3 linked regions of the Ovis aries genome follow. The protein of the gene in region 1 interacts with the protein of each later gene in a biochemical or structural test. Links are inferred from orthologs where the notes say so. Each region holds a gene or a part of one and is shown on either strand. Other genes may lie near its edges. The genes, in order: TOR1A, torsin-1A-interacting protein 2 and TOR1AIP1.

Region 1 (4,159 bases):
TGCAGGAGACACAGGAGACCTGGGTTTGATCTCTGGGTCAGGAAGATCCCCTGAAGGAGGACAGGGCAATCCACTCCAATATTCTTGCGTAAAGAATTCCATGGACAGAGGAGCCTAGCAGACTACAGTCCATGAGGTTGCAAAGAGTCAGACACAACTGAGGCAACTAAGCACACACACAAGGTAAAAAGAAAGAGTTAGCTATTAGTTTCTGAGGAAAATTCTGGAAGCTATGATATAGGTCTTGACTTCTTATGATCTGGAGTTTCGCTTGGCTACTCAGACCATGCGTACAGTGTTCCATGGGTGCCTATTAACCAAAGCAGTAACTTTGCTCTGTTCGTGAAAAGTCACTTCAGTCGTGTCTGACTCTTGCGACCCATGAACTGTAACTGAACAACTCCCCTGTTCATGGGATTCTCCAGGCAAGAATACTGGAGCAGGTTGCCATGCCCTCCTCCAGGGGATCTTCCCAACCCAGGGATCGAGCCCGTGTCTCTTAGATCTCCTGCGTTGGCAGGTGGGTTCTTTACCACTAGCACCACTTGGGAAGCCCAACTCTGCTCTGTAGATATGAGCTAACCTCTATTTACAGAAGAACCTCAGGAGAGCTGGAGTGACTTGAACAAGGCCACAGAGTGAGTCACTGTTTAAACGAGAATTCCCTCAGGTCTGGCGGGCTCTAGCAGCCAAGGCCTTCCATTCTGTTCCTCCCTCTCACAGACAACAGAGAGTGTACATGGAGCACTCACTACAGGCAAGACCCTGTTCTAAGCACGGTTCACCCGTTTTATTGTGATCTTCCAAAACCCATCAAAGCAGTTAACTACTGCATTTCCTATTTCACAGACCAGGAAACTGAGGTGCAGGGAGGTTACGTAACTTGCTCAGTCACACAGCTATTAAACAGCGAAGATGGAATGCTAACTAGGAAGAGCAACTCGTCCCTATTTGCCTGGAACTTTCCCAGTTGTAGCAGCGAAAGCCTCACATCCCAGGAACTCCTGGGCAGTGACCCTGATGCTCATCCAAGCTGAAGGGAAAAATGTGTTCACACAGGTGAGACAAAAAAAAAAAAGGGCAATAGTTACCAATGATTTGAACGCTCATGCGCTGAGCATCATGTTACATGACAGGCTTAAGGCCTCAAGAAATTCTGACTTCCCTGGTGACACAGTGGTTAAGACTCCCAGCTTCCACTGCAGGGGGTGGCACGGGTTCAAACCCTGGTCAGGGAACGAAGACCCAACATGCTACCTGGCATGGTCAAAATTTTTTTAAAAAGAAATTCTCACAGCTGCCATTTGACAGATGAAGAACCTGAGTCTCAAGAGAAGTCAGGTGACTCTCCCAACATTACACAGCTGATAGGTGGGAGCCTGGGGCTCAAATTCAGGTGTGTCTGCCCTGGAAGCCAGGCTGTTAAATCAGTGAGTTCAAGTATAAAAGCAAACTTAGGCCTCCCTAGAAATGTTTTCCCTTTTATAAAACATGTTAGATTTGAAGAGCTTTAACCAGGATTTGATTACGTCCATCTCTAAGATCCTACTACACCACTTACTGAGTACCACCCGCAGCCTGTTTTCAGAAACCAGCTTTGATGGTGTCATTGCTTCTGCCATCTCCAATCCTCTGTAATTTCCACACTTTTTAAAGGGAAACGGCCACGTGTGGCTGTTTTCAGGGCTCACTCCTTTCAACATAGAACATCCAAATCCATCCCCCAACAAAGAAACCCCAAAGCAAGCATCATCCCTGAAGGACTCCAAAATTCGGCCCTTGCCTTATACAGAGTGATGTTCGAGATGTGTGGGAAGTGCAGCGTGGCCACAAACAGGTGGACATAGTCACTGTTCAGCCCACCCTCGTAGATATTCTCCGCGATGATTTTGCTGACAAAATTTTTGCCAGTGCCTGTCCACCCGTGCAGGGAGAGGGTGAGAGGTTTCTTGGGCTTCGGGTTGCTGATGAAGCCAGACACAGCATTTAAGATGACTTTCTTTGCAAGATGCTGTCCAAAGAGCTTGCTGTCGAGATCCTTCTGCAGCGCTGAAAAAAAAAACAAAGCCAGTCAGGCGGAGGGTAGGGGGCACACCTGGCAAAACGTAGCCCAGTTTACAGGCTCACGCAAAGCCAGCAAAGCCCGCTAAGCTCTTCCAAGCGTTTACTGGGACGCAGACATAGGTAGGCACTAGGCCCAGGTGGCCCGTGAGTCCAGGAGGCCCTCCCTCTGCAAGTCCTGCCACACTTTCGGATGAGACCCTGGCTCCAGAACCTCCGCCAACAGCGCGAGCCCCTCACCCCGGCCCTGTCCCTCCCCACCCGAAGGCCGGCAGGAAAAAAAGGGCAGAGTAATTCGGCTCCGCCGCTCTGCGTCGAGAGAGCCCCCACCAGCCTTCCCGTCTCTGGCAAGGAGCGAGCAAGAAACTCTCTGGAGGAAGTTTCCGATCGTCCACCAGCCCGCTTTCTGGGCGAAGGTGCAGCTGGCATCCGCAGGTCTCAGACCAAAGTCCGGTCGGCCTGCGATCGTGGCCCAGGAGCCAGGCCCCGTGCCGCACGCCGGTTCCGGGTCTGGCCCGACCCCCCTGCCCCACCAACCCCCGGCTGGGCACTGCCCGGGCTTCCCGGCCTCCTGGCTGGCCCCCAACTCTGACCCCCTTCCCAGCTCAGGCACCAGACCCCGGCCCATCCTACCTTCCCGGCTGAGGCTCCGCTTCGGGCTGCAGCACTCGGCGAACAGGCAGTAGAGGCGCGGGTAGGAGATGTAGCCGGTGAGGACGCCGGCCAGGGCCAATCCCAGGCTGATGGGCTCCACCGCCCGCACCGCCAACGGCGCCAGCAGCAGCAGGCCCAGCGCGGCCCGCCCCAGCTTCATGCCGGGACCCGCGCCGCCCCGCCCGTTCTCGCGCCTACCGCCGACCGGCGCCGCCACCAGACCGCGCTTCCGGTTCCTCCCGCCGGCGCCGCCATTCTTCAAAGGGGCGGATCGCCTCCGACGCCGGCGGCCGCCATCTTTGTGAAGGGCAAAGCCCTTTCCTGCTTTAGGCGCTGGGGTAGTTGGAGGAGCCATTTTTTCTTTTTCCCTTCTTTTTAGTAAAACTTGCTTTTGGGGAACAGTTTTGCATGGGCTTCCCTGGTGGCTCAGACGGTCTGCCTGCAATGCGGGAGACCCGGGTTCGATCCCTAGGTCTGGAAGATCCCCTGGAGCAGGAAATGGCAACGCACTCCAGTACTCTCGCCTGGAGAATCCCACGGACAGAGGAGCCTGGTAGGCTACTGTCCATGGGGTCGCAAAGAGTCGGACACGACTGAGCGACTTTGCTTACTTACGTTTATAGAAAAGTTGAGAGGAGAGTACAGAGAGGTTCCATATTACCACACCCTCGCACGCAGTTTCCTCGATTATTTACATCTTACATTAGTAGGTTTTGTTGTTGCTGTCGTTAGTTATGTTGCTGCTGCTGCTAAGTAGCTTCAGTCGTGTTTACATTTGTTAAAATTAATGAGCCCATGTTGAGATATTGTAATTAAAGTTTTTTATTTCCTTGTTGTTTAGCCGTTCAGTTGCTTTTTTTTTTTTGCGACCCCAAGCCAGGCTCCTCCGTCCATGGGATTTCCCAGGCAAGAATACTGGAGTGGGTTGCCATTTCCATCTCCAGGGGATTCCCCCCAGCCAGGGATCCAACTCGTGCCTCCTGTTTTGGAAGGGGGATTCTTTACCATTGAGCCACCTAGGAAAGCCCTGATCTTTTGTAGGATCCTCAACTATTGGAATTTAATGGTCTTCTTATGATTAGATTGGAGTTGTGGGTTTGGGGGAGGAATATACTTTACAGAGATACTCTTTTTATACCATCGTATCATAGGTACTATAATCAACATGATTTATGACTGCTGATGTTGACCTTCCTCACCTGGATAAGGTAGTGTTGGTCAGGTCTCTCCCAGGTAACAGTTACTTCCTCTCATTCATTCATTCATAATTTTGAGGATCTCCTATGGACTAGATCCTGGAGATTAAAGAAAAAAAAAAATGAGGTGCAGGTGAATCCTGCCTTCACTGACCTTGCATCTGAGTGAAGGGGAAGAAAAGGAAATCTCTTACAGATGAGAAAACAGGCTGCAAGGCAAATGGATGTGTCCAAGGATTTAATAAAGA
Region 2 (3,650 bases), on another chromosome or scaffold:
TCACCTACTCTAGCCTCCTACCTTACCTACTGTGACAAAAGGTCCAGAGGTGTCAACGGCTTTGCCCAAGACCAAACTGAGATTAGAAAGAGGTTTCTTATCTCCTCAGTCAGTTCAGTTCGGTCGCTCAGTCATGTCCGACTCTTTGCAACCCCATGAATTGCAGCACGCCACGCCTCCCTGTCCATCACCAACTCCCAGAGTTCACTCAGACTCACGTACATCGAGTCAGTGATGCCATCCAGCCATCTCATCCTCTGTCGGCCCCTTCTCCTCCTGCCCACAATCCCTCCCAGCATCAGAGTCTTTTCCAATGATTCAACTCTTCGCATGAGGTGGCCAAAGTACTGGAGTTTCAGCTTTAGCATCAGTCCTTCCAAAGAAATCCCAGGGCTGATCTCCTTCAGAATGGACTGGTTGGATCTCCTTGCAGTCCAAGGGACTCTCAAGAGTCTTCTCCAACACCACAGTTCAAAAGCATCAATTCTTTGGCACTCAGCTTTCTTCACAGTCCAACTCTCACATCCATACATGACCACTGGAAAAACCATAGCCTTGACTAGACGGACCTTATTCAGCAAAGTAATTTCTCTGCTTTTGAATATACTATCTAGATTGGTCATAACTTTTCTTCCAAGGAGTAAGCGTCTTTTAATTTCATGGCTGCAGTCACCATCTGCAGTGATTTTGGAGCCCCCAAAAATAAAGTCTGACACTGTTTCCACTGTTTCCCCATCTATTTGCCATGAAGTGATGGGACCAGATGCCATGATCTTCGTTTTCTGAATGTTGAGCCTTAAGCCAACTTTTTCACTCTCCTCTTTCACTTTCAACAAGAGGCTCTTTAGTTCCTCTTCACTTTCTGCCATACGGGTGGTGTCATCTGCATATCTGAGGTTATTGGTATCTCTCCCAGCAATCTTGATTTCAGCTTGTGTTTCTTCCAGTCCAGCGTTTCTCATGATGTACTCTGCACAGAAGTTAAATAAGCAGGGTGACAGTATACAGCCTTGACGTACTCCTTTTCCTATTTGGAACCAGTCTGTTGTTCCATGTCCAGTTCTAACTGTTGCTTCCTGACCTGCATCCAGATTTCTCAAGAGGCAGGTCAGGTGGTCTGTATTCCTATCTCTTTCAGAATTTTCTACAGTTTATTGTGATCCACATAGTCAAAGGCTTTGGCATAGTCAATAAAGCAGAAATAGATGTTTTTCTGGAACTCTCTTGCTTTTTCAATGATCCAGTGGATGTTGGCAATTTTATCTCTGGCTCCTCTGCCTTTTCTAAAACCAGCTTGAACTTCAGGAATTTTGCAGTTCACGTATTGCTGAAGCCTGGCTTGGAGAATTTTGAGCATTACTTTACTAGCATGTGATATGAGTGCAATTGTGCACTAATTTGAGCATTCCTTGGCATTGCCTTTCTTTGGAATTGGAATGAAAACTGACCTTTTCCAGTCCTGTGGCCACTGCTGAGTATTCCAAATTTGCTGGCATATTGAGTGCAGCACTTTCACAGCATCATCTTTCAGGATTTGAAATAGCTCAGCTGGAATTCCATCACCTCTACTAGCTTTGTTTGTAGTGATGGTTTCTAAAGCCCACTTGACTTCACATTCCAGGATGTCTGGTTCTAGGTGAGTGATCACACCATCGTGATTATCTGAGTCGTGACAATCTTTTTTGTACAGTTTTTCTGTGTATTCTTGCCACCTCTTCTTAGTATCTTCTGCTTCAGTAGGTCCATACCATCTGTCATTTATCATTATATTAAGCTGCTTCTCACACATTAAACTGCATTTTTAAACCAATGTTTTCTTCCCCTACTCAGTGAACCTGCATACCACTGAAACTCTGATGGCACATATTGGTCCATATACAAATCCTATCATTTGCTCATTTAACAAATATTCATAAAGTCACTTCTCTGTGCCAAGAGCCACAGAAACACAATGAGTGAGACATAGCCCTTGTCTTCACTCAAGTTAATAATAAACTAATAAAATGCATATTTGAGATCAGTCATTGACTTACACTGAAACATGGAATTCTAACCCTCAGTCAAGTCCAACAAAAACAATGTCTTATATTTTATATTCCTTTGCTCTGGCAAATAGGCATTTCAGGCTGAGCTTTCAGAGTACTTATAAAACACAAATCCATACAATCCAACTCCATAATATCACAGAAGGTAAAAGCTGGAAGAAACCAGCTGGATATCATCTAGTTCAACTTCTTCATTTCTACAAATAGGAAACTGAAGTACCAGCAAGTTGGGAGATTTGCTTAAAGTCACCCAAGTTAGGAAGTGGTAGGGCTGCAACTAGAATCCGTATCTCTTGAGTTCCAGTTAAAGACTTAGCACACTGCAACTATTCTTCGTGAGGAAAGACAGCATGCTGTTCTCCTTAATATACAAGTGGAGACAATCAGGTATAGAGAAATAACTAATTTGCTCAAAGTCCTATAAAACTGAAATATGCCTGAGTTAAGGGTACTGGCTCAGATGGTAAAGAATTTTCCTGCAATGCAGGAGACCCAGGTTCAATCCCTGGGTCGGGAAGAACTCCTAGAGGGAATGGCTACCCACTCCAGTATTCTTGCCTGGAGAATCCCATGGACAGAGAAGCCTGGTGGGTTACAGTCCATGGGGTCACAAAGAATCAGACAGAGACTGTAGTGACTAACACTTCACTTCAAGGGTACTGTACCACATGCTGGTTTTTAAATATACCTATCTCTTGATTCATGTAGCATTTAGTTTCCCCTAAAGTAAAAGATTTTAAAAAGTGAAAGCAAAAATATGCTTATAAGAAATAAAAGGCCAGAGGTAAATTTTTTAAGTCATACCTGTAAAAAATTTAAAAAATCATAGATACAGTAAATAAATGGAAACTGTTAAAAAATGCAGCTTATGTATAAGTGGGAAGCATCTTATGTAGTGAGCAGAATGAGCTAGCTTGAAAGCGAGAGCATTAGTTGCTCAGTCGTGTCTGACTCTGCAACCCCATGGACTATAGCCTGCTAGGCTCCTCTGTCCATGAGATTCTCCAGGCAAGAATACTGGAGTGGGTTGCCATTCCCTTCTCCAGGGGATCTTCCCAACCCAGGGATCGAACCTGGGTCTCTCACATTGCAGGCAGAACCTTTACCTTCTGAGCCACCAGCGAAGTCTTAGGAGATGAGAAACCTCATTTAATCTCAATATAGTCATATCTCTTTGTGACCTTGGGCAAGATGCAAAGGCCTTAATCCTATGAAGTAAAGAGAAGCTCTCTGAAAAGGAGGGCCTCACCTACGCTGTGTTCCCAGGACAGAACAGTACACAACAGGACAGGCTCAGGGCTTCTCTCACCTGGTGCCAGCAGTCGCTTCCTCAGTGTGTGCTGGCTCTCCAGCCCTGCACTGGAATGGCCAGGGCTCTGGGCATCCTGAGGGTCAACGACTGGTGGCTCCTGAGATGCTCCGGCTCCATCACTGACGTGCTCAGGGAAGGCTGCAGAGCTGCCCACTATGTGTACGTCTGTTCTTCCTACCTTGTCACTTGGAGAACACTTGGGTTCTGGATCCACAGGGTCTTCACTCAGACTCTCTGAAGGGAGCTGATGGCCTTGTTCTCCACCCTGAAAACTCTGGCTCTTCTCACCTTCT
Region 3 (3,650 bases), on another chromosome or scaffold:
TTTATTAGAGTTCAAAAGGGATTACAGAGCCTGTGGTTTATGTGGTTTCAAAGACTAGCACTGGTGGCAATGGTATCGAGCAAGCGGCTATATGAATGGCTTAATCAGTCTCTCCGTTTTAGAGCACAGGTGTATGCATATAGGAAAACTAACAACAACTAACAACAGCACATAATTTGAGCGTTTACTATTTGCCAGGCACTCTCTGAGTAATTTAACCTCACAACAAACCAGTGAGGAAACTGAGGAACAGAAAAGTTAAGCAATTGCCTGAGGGCACAAAACCTATCAATAGTACTGGAAGAGTGAAACGCAGTGAAACTCAAGAGTCATGATCTTAACCACTATGTTAGAGTTTTGCACATCTCTGTTGGGATTTATGAGTCAAGAAAGGATGGGGGAACATGACAAAGGATGGGAAATATAAAGAATATCAAATGCCCATAAACTGGCTTCTGAGCTCATTTTGAAAATAGAATGATTAAGTAAAACATAAATAAATTATAGAAATTCTCAAAAGGTGGGGAAAAGTAGAGATTTTATTGTTAATGGGACTAGCATATAAATAAAACTACTCATTAGTTACACTGTTTACAAATTTGATCGGCACTCTCACTAAGCCTCAAGCTGGTACTTCTTTTTCCTTCAGCTGATTTTTTCCTTGAATAAACTAAACATCAATTTTTATGAATAATCAGAAACTGTTACTGCTAACTTGGTGTGAATTTGAACAATTCAGAGATAAAAGTAGTAATCTAAGTTCACTAAAACTTCCTAAAAGCTAGCTAACACTCCTGACAGTACAGTGAGTTTATGCCAGTGTGATCAGTTTCTCTATCAAAGTTTTTTAAAAACCACAAATAACTTTTTTTGGTGCAAAAAGATATGTTCCACAAATAACAAGGCAAGGTAGAAGTGATTTGTTTGTTAGGTAGTATGTTACTAATCAGATACGTGATATGTATATGGAATCAGTAATTTTAATAAATGTTTAAAAGTACACTTTTTAAAAAGTAGTTTTAATACTTTAAAATATTTTTTAAAAAAGCAAATTCACAGAATACTTTATACTCTACCTAGAGCTACAGCTCCTAAGAAAAGAGTCATAAAGCATAAAGCAATGTTACCTTCAGACTCAACAGAATCCCCGGATCTGACCTTAACAGTAACATCACTGTCAGAGCTGTCTTGATCATTTTCTTCAGTTTCCCCTAAAACAAAATAAAAACACATTATTATAGTCTTTATTCTACATCTTTAAAGATCTGGATTAAAAAAGTAATAATAAAAACAATCTGACATTAAAATGAAGCCTTTTAAATAATCAGATATCAAATTGCTATTTATTACGCTTACTATCCTGAGTCACAAAGTTCTAAATAAGCTAAAATTGAGCTCATTCATTTCATGTTCTCTGAAGTACATAATTATATCCCAAATGAATACTCAGTAAGATTGTATTCTAAGGCTTTAGAGTAAAAAAGTAAACAAACGAACATTAAACAGAAGGAAAGTTTTACCTTATGGTGAGGAAAAATACAATTAGAGTACAAATTCATACAACATTAGTATATGCACTAATGTGTTTGCATATACGTGTGTATGTTTGCCAACAGGGCGTGTGTATACATACACCCATCCACAAACATTTCAGTATGCAGGGCACTAATCTCAGATTATGGTGAGCTTAAAAACAGACTAACCTATGGCTGATTCATGTTGAGGTTTGACAGAAAACAACAAAATTCTGTAAAGCAATTATACTTCAATTAAAAAATAAATTAATTTAAAAAAACACACTAAATTTTACTGTACTATTCAAAGATAAGATTTGGAAAACTAGTTATTTTAATACCATAATCAAAGGCTAGCACATGACAGAAATGGAAATATTAGCTTTGCTTAAATTAATTTCAACACACAAAAGATGTTTAATATATACATAAAAGCCATCTTCACACATTCTGTTCTATTTTACCTGTCCATTTAACAGTTCAGATTTTAGGCATGAATATTTTTTTTCCTGAAGAAAAAGGCCTTCTTTTCTGTCCTCTCTCTTAAATACTTACCAAAAGTGCTTCTAATCTTAATAACAACAACAAAAAGATTTAGAAAATACTGCATGGTATTTTAAGTGAAAATACCTTCTTCCAAGTAATTGACCTTCTGATGGACACTGGCAGCTTCTAGAAAAGAAAAGCATACATGTTGTATATAACATCATAAGCCAAAGTTCAGGAATCAATAAGAATATTTAATTTAGGAAAGTGAATATTACATCACAACAATTAAACTTTTTTTTCCCATTAAATCATAAAAAAGAAAGGATTATTTCCCTTTACACTATTTCAGGAATAAGTGTGCTACAAACTAGAATCAGAAACTGTGTTTCTTCACTGAGAGGTCTATTTGTATTATAAAATGTAACTTGTGTTTGTAGAAAGTGTGAAGCTCTATGTTGATAAATAGAGTCCCCTAGGTTGGTAAATCGGAGAGGGCAATGGCACCCCACTCCAGTACTCTTGCCTGGAAAATCCCATGGACGGAGGAGCCTGGGAGGCTGCAGTCCATCGGGTCGCTGAGGGTCGGACAAGACTGAGCGACTTCACTTTCACTTGTCACTTTAATGCACTGGAGGAGGAAATGGCAACCTACTCCAGTGTTCTTGTCTGGAGAATCCCAGGGATGGGGGAGCCTGGTGGGCTGCCATCTATGGGGTCGCACAGAGTCAGACACGACTGAAGTGACTTAGCAGCAGTAGCAAGTTGGTAAATAGGTTTACTGTATTCTCTTTCTCATATCTGCTAGATTTCCGATACTCCTTTGAAAAAGCCAACCACACAAGCAGAGCTGAAAAAGCAGTGTTTTAATGCACTGGTGAGTCTGAAGAGATTGTAAGAAAGGTAAAGAAACGCTCCTAGTTCCAGCAGGTCCACATACACCACTGTTCTCAGAGTCAGAGAATTTGGACAAAGATAAATGAGTAAAATGTGTCAAAGAAATGCTGTATTTTCACATGGGCTATTCTGATTTTGGGGGGTTTTTGGCTGTGTCATTTGGCTTGTGGTATCTTAGTTCCCCAATCAGGGACTGAAGCTGGGGCTGTGGCAGTGGAAGAGCAGAGTCCCAACCACTGGACCACAGGGAATTTCCTGATTGTTTTTTTTTTAAATAAAGAAAGATATACCCAAATGTAAGAATTGCACAATTGGGCTAAAATGTTGCTGAATGATCATATGAGAACAGAATGAACCAGAATGAAAATTTGTTTCCTTTCAGATCTTCCTCTGTTGATTGTAACTCCTATTTGCTTTTCAAAAGAAAAAAAGAATTGTATTGTAGAAGGCAACTAGCAACCCATCATTCTATGAATGTGGAAATAATTTTTAAAAATCAGTTTAATTAGATTGGTATAACATCAATACTAGCCAAGCTACTTTTACTTAATAGTGGCAAGTGCAAATCAGCATTTGACAACATTTTTGCTCTAAAAAAATTGACTCTGAGAAAACTGCTAATACTACTATGCAATTCTTTCTTTGGGTTTCCCTGGTTTCTCAGCTGGTAAAGAATCTGTCTGCAATGCAGGAGACTCAGATTTGACTCCTGGGTCAAGAAGGTCTCCTGGAGAAGTGTTAGGCTATCCACCC

Evidence for each region.
Region 2: the proteins of TOR1A (region 1) and torsin-1A-interacting protein 2 form a complex in vitro, tested with the Homo sapiens proteins (4 studies listed by BioGRID and IntAct, with this or other methods). The link is inferred for Ovis aries from reciprocal best matches to the Homo sapiens genes TOR1A and TOR1AIP2.
Region 3: the proteins of TOR1A (region 1) and TOR1AIP1 form a complex in vitro, tested with the Homo sapiens proteins (2 studies listed by BioGRID and IntAct). The link is inferred for Ovis aries from reciprocal best matches to the Homo sapiens genes TOR1A and TOR1AIP1.

Annotation. Positions count from the first base shown.
Region 1 is NC_056056.1:6,701,488-6,705,646, reverse strand, and holds the start of TOR1A (torsin-1A), read right to left. Parts: upstream 2,925-4,159; 5' UTR 2,876-2,924; coding exon 2,695-2,875; intron 2,050-2,694; coding exon 1,784-2,049; intron 1-1,783. UniProt on the Homo sapiens protein: Protein with chaperone functions important for the control of protein folding, processing, stability and localization as well as for the reduction of misfolded protein aggregates.
Region 2 is NC_056065.1:60,446,839-60,450,488, forward strand, and holds part of torsin-1A-interacting protein 2, read right to left. Parts: coding exon 3,355-3,650; intron 1-3,354. UniProt on the Homo sapiens protein: Required for endoplasmic reticulum integrity. Regulates the distribution of TOR1A between the endoplasmic reticulum and the nuclear envelope as well as induces TOR1A, TOR1B and TOR3A ATPase activity.
Region 3 is NC_056065.1:60,508,167-60,511,816, reverse strand, and holds part of TOR1AIP1 (torsin-1A-interacting protein 1), read right to left. Parts: intron 2,187-3,650; coding exon 2,145-2,186; intron 1,212-2,144; coding exon 1,128-1,211; intron 1-1,127. UniProt on the Homo sapiens protein: Required for nuclear membrane integrity. Induces TOR1A and TOR1B ATPase activity and is required for their location on the nuclear membrane. Binds to A- and B-type lamins. Possible role in membrane attachment and assembly of the nuclear lamina.